Xenopus tropicalis: one gene and its partner. The protein of the gene in region 1 purifies or fractionates together with the protein of each later gene. This does not show direct contact. Links are inferred from orthologs where the notes say so. Each region holds a gene or a part of one and is shown in the gene's direction. Other genes may lie near its edges. The genes, in order: foxm1 and otub1.

Evidence for each region.
Region 2: the proteins of foxm1 (region 1) and otub1 purify together in Homo sapiens (affinity purification with western blotting; 4 studies listed by BioGRID, with this or other methods). This does not show direct contact. The link is inferred for Xenopus tropicalis from reciprocal best matches to the Homo sapiens genes FOXM1 and OTUB1.

Annotation. Positions count from the first base shown.
Region 1 is NC_030679.2:10,383,231-10,387,629, reverse strand, and holds the start of foxm1 (forkhead box protein M1), read left to right. Parts: upstream 1-1,539; 5' UTR 1,540-1,634; intron 1,635-3,822; 5' UTR 3,823-3,881; intron 3,882-4,399. UniProt on the Homo sapiens protein: Transcription factor regulating the expression of cell cycle genes essential for DNA replication and mitosis. Plays a role in the control of cell proliferation. Also plays a role in DNA break repair, participating in the DNA damage checkpoint response.
Region 2 is NC_030680.2:36,046,092-36,050,440, reverse strand, and holds the start of otub1 (ubiquitin thioesterase OTUB1), read left to right. Parts: upstream 1-1,368; 5' UTR 1,369-1,439; coding exon 1,440-1,485; intron 1,486-4,349. UniProt on the Homo sapiens protein: Hydrolase that can specifically remove 'Lys-48'-linked conjugated ubiquitin from proteins and plays an important regulatory role at the level of protein turnover by preventing degradation.

The DNA of each region.
Region 1 (4,399 bases):
GTGGGCAAATAAGCCTCCCATTAAATAAGCCAATGGGATTTTACAGGCAAAGCCAAAAAGGTTTGATCTAAAATAGATCAAACCTTTTTGGCTTTGCCTGTAAAATCCCACTGCCTTATTTTTAGATTCTAAATCCTTATACTTGCTGCTGGTACAGGTATAGGACCCATTATCCAGAATGCTCGGGACCAAGGGTATTCCGGATAAGGGATCTTAGTTGGGATCAAGTACAGGTACTGTTTTATTATTACAGAGAAAAGGGAATCATTTAACCATTAAATAAACCCAATAGGGCTGTTCTGCCCCCAATAAGGGGTAATTATATCTTAGTTGGGATCAAGTACAGGTACTGTTTTATTATTACAGAGAAAAGGGAATCATTTAACCATGAAATAAACCCAATAGGGCTGTTCTGCCCCCAATAAGGGGTAATTATATCTTAGTTGGGATCAAGTACAGGTACTGTTTTATTATTACAGAGAAAAGGGAATCATTTAACCATTAAATAAACCCAATAGGGCTGTTCTGCCCCCAATAAGGGGTAATTATATCTTAGTTGGGATCAAGTACAGGTACTGTTTTATTATTACAGAGAAAAGGGAATCATTTAACCATTAAATAAACCCAATAGGGCTGTTCTGCCCCCAATAAGGGGTAATTATATCTTAGATGGGATCAAGTACAGGTACGGTTTTATTATTACAGAGAAAAGGGAATCATTTAACCATTAAATAAACCCAATAGGGCTGTTCTGCCCCAATAAGGGGTAATTATATCTTAGTTGGGATCAAGTACAGGTACTGTTTTATTATTACAGAGAAAAGGGAATCATTTAACCATTAAATAAACCCAATAGGGCTGTTCTGCCCCCAATAAGGGGTAATTATATCTTAGTTGGGATCAAGTACAGGTACTGTTTTATTATTACAGAGAAAAGGGAATCGTTTAACCATTAAATAAACCTAATAGGGCTGTTCTGCCAGGGATCAAGGGATCAAGTACAGGTACTGTTTTATTATAACAGAGAAAAAACAAATCAGGTTTAAAAATTCTGAATTATTTGATTAAAATGGAGTCTATTCGGAGCTTTCTAGATACCGGGTTTCCGGATAAGGGGTCCCATACCTGTACGTTAGCCAAGCTCTGAGTGCTACAGTCATTAGTCTCTGCCTCCTGTCATACCATGAGTTACCCACAGATGGCGCTCCCAACATGACGGCTCCGATTCCGTTTAAAACAAACAGGTCCAATCAGCATGTTCCCCACCAATCAATTTGTTATCCACAACTGCACCCACAACCCACCGACAGCTACAAACCCTTAATAAGCGGACAGGTAGCCCCCGAACATTCCGGCCCAGCGCTGTAATATCCCCTTCTTTCCGGGATACGTTAGGGCTTCTCTCTTTCCCCGACACCGATTGGCTACGGCGAGCGTTCTATAACTCGCTCATTATGATTGGCTCTTTGCCAAAGGAACTCGTTGATTGATTGCGCGATTGGTCGAGAGATGCGTGACGCGCTAGGGACGCGCTGTGGATTGGTCGATGTGGTCACGTGGGTTTAAGCGGGCCCGAAAGCGCGAAAATTCAAAAACCACGGAAAGGCCCGATATTGACACCGTCTTATAAACAGGTATTTAGATCGGGTTAGATCGTCATCGGACGTGAAGTTGGGGCTGTGTGTGTATGAGGGTGGGTGCAAGGCTTGTGTAGAAGGAGCATGGAGGCCTGTGGGTGTAGGGGGTGTCAGTTCTCAATATGGAACTGTCATGTTCCACTCTATGGAAGCCGCTGTTGTTCAACTACAACCCACCTGTAATGTCTTAATGGTCTTTTGGGGGAGGGGGTGTCCTGCAATGGTTCAGCCACATATTTTATATATATATATATATATATATATATATATGGGCCCTATCTGCCCATGGCAACTTTATCTCCCAATTGTGAAAATGTATCCTGTTTTCTGGCTTTAGTGCGCCCATATAATGAGGTTGTTGGGTTATACAATGGCTTTGCCTTCTGTCTGCCTCACCCTCCTCCTCCATCAATTCAATGGGTAATGAGTGACCTATTCAGTGAATGAGGAGGGGACAGGGGCTTTAACAATCAGTAAAGGGGGGTGCTAGAGCCATTGTCGCTCACTCTGTAGCAGTGCGGGTGTTATTAGGGAATTAGTATAGGTTGGAAAATAAAGTTAGAAACACACGAGAAGGGATCTCTAACCCCCTTGTATCACATATACAGCAAGAACCTAACAGAATAACGTTCTAGCTGGTCCAGTTCTCCTTACTAACCAATCAGAGCAGCAGGGAGTTCATTATGAAGGATGCTGTACCATAAATGCCTGTAATCCTTCCTCTTTGTTCCATAGCCCCAAGCAAATCATTCTATGCATCAGCTGCTGTATTGCTGGGGGGTCCCGCAATGGGTCAGTAAGGCCACTTGCCCAGCTACTGTATATTTGGGCACTATCTGCCGCTGGCACTGTGCTAGTGATGAAACCACGCAGCCATGGCAACTTTATTTACAAATTGAGGATATTTAACATGTTTTCTGGCTTTAGTGCAAAAAAAGGGAAAGTTGTGCTGACCATTACATTTTAAACCAGGGGGTCCTCAAACTACGGCCCCCCACGGGCATTTACCTACCCCTGCTGTGTCCTCACCCCTGGCTACTACCTGTCTGCCTCAGCGTGGCCCTCGCTGGACACATTAGCATCGGCGGGTGTGACAGGGTAACGTGATGCAGCCAAGGACCACGCTGAGGCAGGCCAGTTATAGCCAGGGGTGTGGGACAAACTATAGTCTGGCCCCCCAACAGTCTGAGGGACTGTGAACTGGCCCCCTGCTTAAAAAGATTGAGCACCCCTGATTAAACCATTAGGCAGAGGTGCAATAAAGCTGTGACTGCAAAGTTCATATAGACAACAACAACAAGAGGTCCTCTGCACTCCCCCATTATTAATATATACAGGTATGGGACCTGTTATCCAGAGTGCTCGGGACCTGGGGTTTTCCAGATGTTTCTTTAATTTGGATCTCCATAACTTAAGCCTGCTAAAATCATTTAACCATTAAATAAACCCAATAGGGCTGTTCTGCCCCAATAAGGGGTAATTATATCTTAGTTGGGATCAAGTACAGATACTGTTTTATTATTACAGAGAAAAGGGAATCATTTAACCATTAAATAAACCCAATAGGGCTGTTCTGCCCCCAATAAGGGGTAATTATATCTTAGTTGGGATCAAGTACAGGTACTGTTTTATTATTACAGAGAAAAGGGAATCATTTAACCATGAAATAAACCCAATAGGGCTGTTCTGCCCCCAATAAGGGGTAATTATATCTTAGTTGGGATCAAGTACAGGTACTGTTTTATTATTACAGAGAAAAGGGAATCATTTAACCATGAAATAAACCCAATAGGGCTGTTCTGCCCCCAATAAGGGGTAATTATATCTTAGTTGGGATCAAGTACAGGTACTGTTTTATTATTACAGAGAAAAGGGAATCATTTAACCATGAAATAAACCCAATAGGGCTGTTCTGCCCCCAATAAGGGGTAATTATATCTTAGTTGGGATCAAGTACAGGTACTGTTTTATTATTACAGAGAAAAGGGAATCATTTAACCATGAAATAAACCCAATAGGGCTGTTCTGCCCCCAATAAGGGGTAATTATATCTTAGTTGGGATCAAGTACAGGTACTGTTTTATTATTACAGAGAAAAGGGAATCATTTAACCATGAAATAAACCCAATAGGGCTGTTCTGCCCCCAGTAAGAATTAATTACAAGGTACTGTTTTACTTTTACAGAGAGTCTATGGGAGACAGGCTTTCCGTTATTTGGAGCTTTCTTGATAACGGGTTTCCAGGTAAGGGATCCCATACCTGTAATCATGATAATGCATTTATTCTCCCGGAAATAGCAGCTTTCTTTTAATAGATGTTGGTTTTAGGGAGAAAAGTTAATTAGTATTATTTGCTTATAATGGAGTCTATGGGAGATGGCCTTTCCGTAATTCGGAACTTTCTGGATAAGGGGTTTCCGGATAAGGGATCTCATACCAAAAACAGGGATTGTCTGTCCATATATTCTGTGCATTGGTAGCTTAATGCACAGAATGTCTTAATGTTCTATATATATATATATATATATATATATATATATATATATATATATATATATATATATATATATATATGTGTGTGTGATAATGGGGGAGTGCAGAGGGGCTCTTAGTGCCCCCATATAATGAAGTTGTTGAGTTATACAATGGCTTTGCCTTCTGTCTGTTGTTCTGGGAGGAAACAGATCTCTAAGACCCCCTAGTAGCGCACATACAGCAAGAACCTTACAGAAGGACCAGTTCTACATTTTCAGCTGGTCCAG
Region 2 (4,349 bases), on another chromosome or scaffold:
AAGGGGTGGTTCACTTTTAGTATGTTATTGAACACACCAATAGGCCAGTTCTTAGCAACTTTTCAATTAGTCTTCATTATTTGTGGTTTTTTTTATAGTTCTTTTATTATTTGCCTTCTTCTTCTAACTCTTTGCAGCTTTTAAATGGGGGTCACTGATTCCCTTAGCAAATTATAAGCATCATTCTTAATGACTAGGCTATTAAAACGCCAGCCGGGTAGCAACCCTTCTTTGCTCCACAAGTTCATTGACTAATTCTGTGTAGTTTTCACCAGTTAAATAGTCCACTGACAGTGGAAAAACCTGACTGTGCTTTAAAGGGGAAAACCACCCAAACACAACTTAAGCTTTTTGAAAAGTAAAGATAATTTCAAGGAACTTTGCAATATACACCAATTAAAACGTGCACCAGTTACAGGATTTTTTTTTTATATATTCTTTATTTTTGATTTTTCAGAGAAAATGGGGTACAGAAAAAAAGAAGGGAATAGGGTAAGGACATTTGAAATGATCTGCATTTACAAACAGGTTGTGAGGTCAGGAGTAACAAAAGTTATTACTTTTAATTTTAAATACATTTGAGAAAGAATAGAAGCAAATAAAAGATAAAACATGTCATCAGGGACTTGTTAGTTTTTTAGAGTAGTGGTTCTATAGGGTCTTATGTCAACGGGTTTGTGTATGAAAGTTGTTGATAAATGTTAGCCAGGGTTCCCACCAGTTACAGGATTTTAATGTAATATTGTGGTTTATAACAAAGCCTGGCCCCTGTTGACTTGCTGATCTGACTACTCAAACCAATATAACAGTAACTGACTGTCCTCCTCCTTCAGCCTGCATGCTCCAAATCCCACAATCCCCTGCACACATCAATAAGTGCAATGCATTGTGGGTTATGTATTTCCTGCATGCTATGTGTAAGCTGTGGTGATGTTACAATTTGTAACATCAGTGTTTTAGTCCCTCTTCCCCTGGCAGGATTTTCAAATGATACAGAAAGGGAAGATTGTTTTGCAGCTGGATTTCATTATATAAAAATGGCATTTAGTCATACTTTTTTGAAGAAACAGATTACAGTAATAGGTATATTATATTTTGTGTGTTGTGTGGGGCTCTCTAACAAATCTTAGTTCGGAAGCTGACGTTCCCCTTTAAAGTAAGGAACACTTGGTGACATAGAAAGCTCAGTGAGTATTACAGGAGACTAGTCTAGCACCACATATAACCAATGAAGTATACATAGCACTAAAGGTATTCAACTATCTCGTGCTTAATACAGCCTGCTTAGTATCGCCTGGCTGAGCGCTTTATTCTACTATAAACTAGCGAACAGTTACTATAGGAACCGTCTCATCCGGCGCTGTGCTATGAAATTAGGGAGGGACTTCCGGTTTGTAGTCTCCCGGAAGTGATTGGAGTGGCGGCGGTCGGTTGGAAATATGGCGGCGGAAGAATCTGAGCGGCAGCAGCAAAGTGATTGTGACGGTGAGAGAGTTAGTGGCTGCGGGGTGTACCTGCGTGTTCCTATCGGCTTCTCACAGTATAACGGGGAGTGGGAGGGAGGAGAGAGGTGCGGGTACAGGCTGCAGGGGCACACACAGGGGCACATACAGGGGCACATACAGGGGCCATACACAGGGACACACACAGGGGCCATATACAGGGACACATACAGGGACCATACACAGGGGCCATATACAGGGACCATACACAGGGGCCATATACAGGGACCATACACAGGGGCACATACAGGGGCACACACACAGGGGCCATATACAGGGGCCATATACAGGGACACACACAGGGGCCATACACAGGGGCACACACAGGGACCATATACAGGGACCATATACAGGGACACACATACAGGGACACACACAGGGGCCATACACAGGGGCACACACAGGGGCCATATACAGGGACACACATACAGGGACACACACAGGGGCCATACACAGGGACATATGGACATACACAGGGGCACACACACAGGGGCCATATACAGGGGCCATATACAGGGGCACACACAGGGGCCATATACAGGGGCACACACAGGGGCCATATACAGGGGCACACACAGGGGCCATGGGATTCATATGGAAATGCACAGCCCGCTTGCATTAAAGCTATCTGCTCTGTACGTCTTTACAGGGCTTTGTTTATTTAAGGAAGGAGATATCAGATCTGATATCATGCATTCTCTCCCTGGAGCTGATTAAGTTAATTGTCATCTCAATCTATATATATTTTTTATTAAATGCACCAAGAATGGAGGTACCACTGTGACAGACACATCTGCTGCTATCACCAGAGCTGTCAAGCCCCCCCCTCCACCACTTCTTTGGGAGTCAGACGATTTCTCCAGTCCCCCAGCAGTGTTTTTCCATTTTTGCCGAAGTCCTGAAGTGAATTTGATGCATGCATGTATAGTAAGCGTTCAGTGACGTAAGTTGATGCATTTGTGCGTCTGTGGGGGAATTTTTCAGCTTCAGCAGCGATTTTGCGCATGCCGTCGCTTCGAGAGGCCTGCGTGACGTCCATTATGTCACTTCCAGGTATGGGGGAACATTTTCTGTTCCCCTGGAAAGCCTAGATGTCAGGTTGACAACTCTCTATCCCCCATGTCCAATACAATAATCATAAAGGTGGGCGAGGCAAAAGAATTCCTAGGGATGCTGATTTGTTAGGCGCCTCTCGGTAAGTATAATCGTGCAGCGTGTTCGACCATATTTTGTGCAGAAGCACAAGGGTACCCTAGATGGTAATATTTTTTTTTCAAAGAATATCACTGGGTTGGGGAATTCAGTTACAACAAACCAGCATTCCCTGCTTATTTTTGGTTGGTTCTCCTTAAGGGCAGTGACACATGGAGAGATTAGTTGCCATGATTTTTACCACACTTCCCGTTACACGCACATATATACAAGTTGCCATGTATAGTGGCTACTCGCTCAAAAAGAGTCCAGTGGCTACTTGGACCTTGTGGAAAGGGAACTTTGGCGATTTGTCACCATGATCAGGCTTTTTTCAAAATCTCCCCATGTATCGTTGCCCTTAGGGCAGGGGTGGGCAAACTTCTCGGCTCAGGGGCCACATTGACTTACAGACAGGCCGAGCCAGCGTTACGCCATTTCCGCTCGTCAGTCCTTTGACACCAAGTCTCTCATGACAAGACTTGTGGAGTCAGCGGGCCGGATTAAAAAGACCAATGGGCCGAATGTGGCCCGCGGGCGTAGTTTGCTCCCCCCTGCCTTAGGGTAATGGCACACTGTATACTTTATAGTCCATGTGAAATCGCCTCTCTCACAGACAACAAAGCACCTAAAATAAATTGCATTTGGTAACAGCAAGAATCACTGTCAGGGGCAAATTTGGGACCAATGTCACTCTGAGGCTGCCTTCCCAATGTAGCCTCCCTCACCTCCTCCCCACACACCCTTTTAGCATCAGAGAAACTTAATAAGCCCCTGGTAACCTACTGGGCGCAGCCTCCTGAGGCAAGGAGCACCCTTCATCACCATGGGTGATATGAAATGCGTAACCACATGAAATTGCCCCCTTATGCACTTTGGCTGATTACACAATATATATGTTTTACCTGCGCTAATTCTTGTTTGTGGAAATGGTATTTTTTAAGGACACTTTGTTACCTAACGATGAATGCAATTTACCACAATTTGCCCAGTGTTATATCACCCTTCATTGGGTAGTTCACCATCAGATTAACTTTTTGTTTACAGTGGTATTCTGACACAATTTACATTTTGTCTTCATCTTTTCATTCTTTGTGGATTTGTTTTTTTTTTTTTTTACCCTGGAATTTATTTCTGCCCACCATGCCTGGGCTTAGGCCCTACAGTTCCAGGGCACAAAGAGCCCCTCACAGGGCCCAATATAAAGCACCAGTCTGTTCTCAGACATCTTGCAACTGAAGCTTTAATTCTTTCTGGTTTGCAAACTATTTAACATTTTGTTCCATACCTCTACAGTTTGGGATTTAAATGATCTGGTTGCTAGGGTCATGCTTATACTAGCAGCGAGCAGTGATTTGCAGACTGCAAGATGAAAAGGAGAGTGCCTGAAGAGGAAGTTACAAATATTAATAAAACTCTTGCCTCAAGATTTTTTTTTATAAATTAAAGTTTTTATAAAGTTTTTATTTAGGATTTTAACAACAAAAAAATAACAGTTTAGAGAAAGAAAGCAGGAAGAAGAAAGAGTATAGAGAGTCTTGCCTCAAGATTAATTTGTATTTTTGCCAGGGTGATAGTATTATACATTTCAGACTAGCGAAAAGTATCACTGCCAGTATAACTTTGCTAAACCTTCTTCTTTGTTTCTTTTCTGTT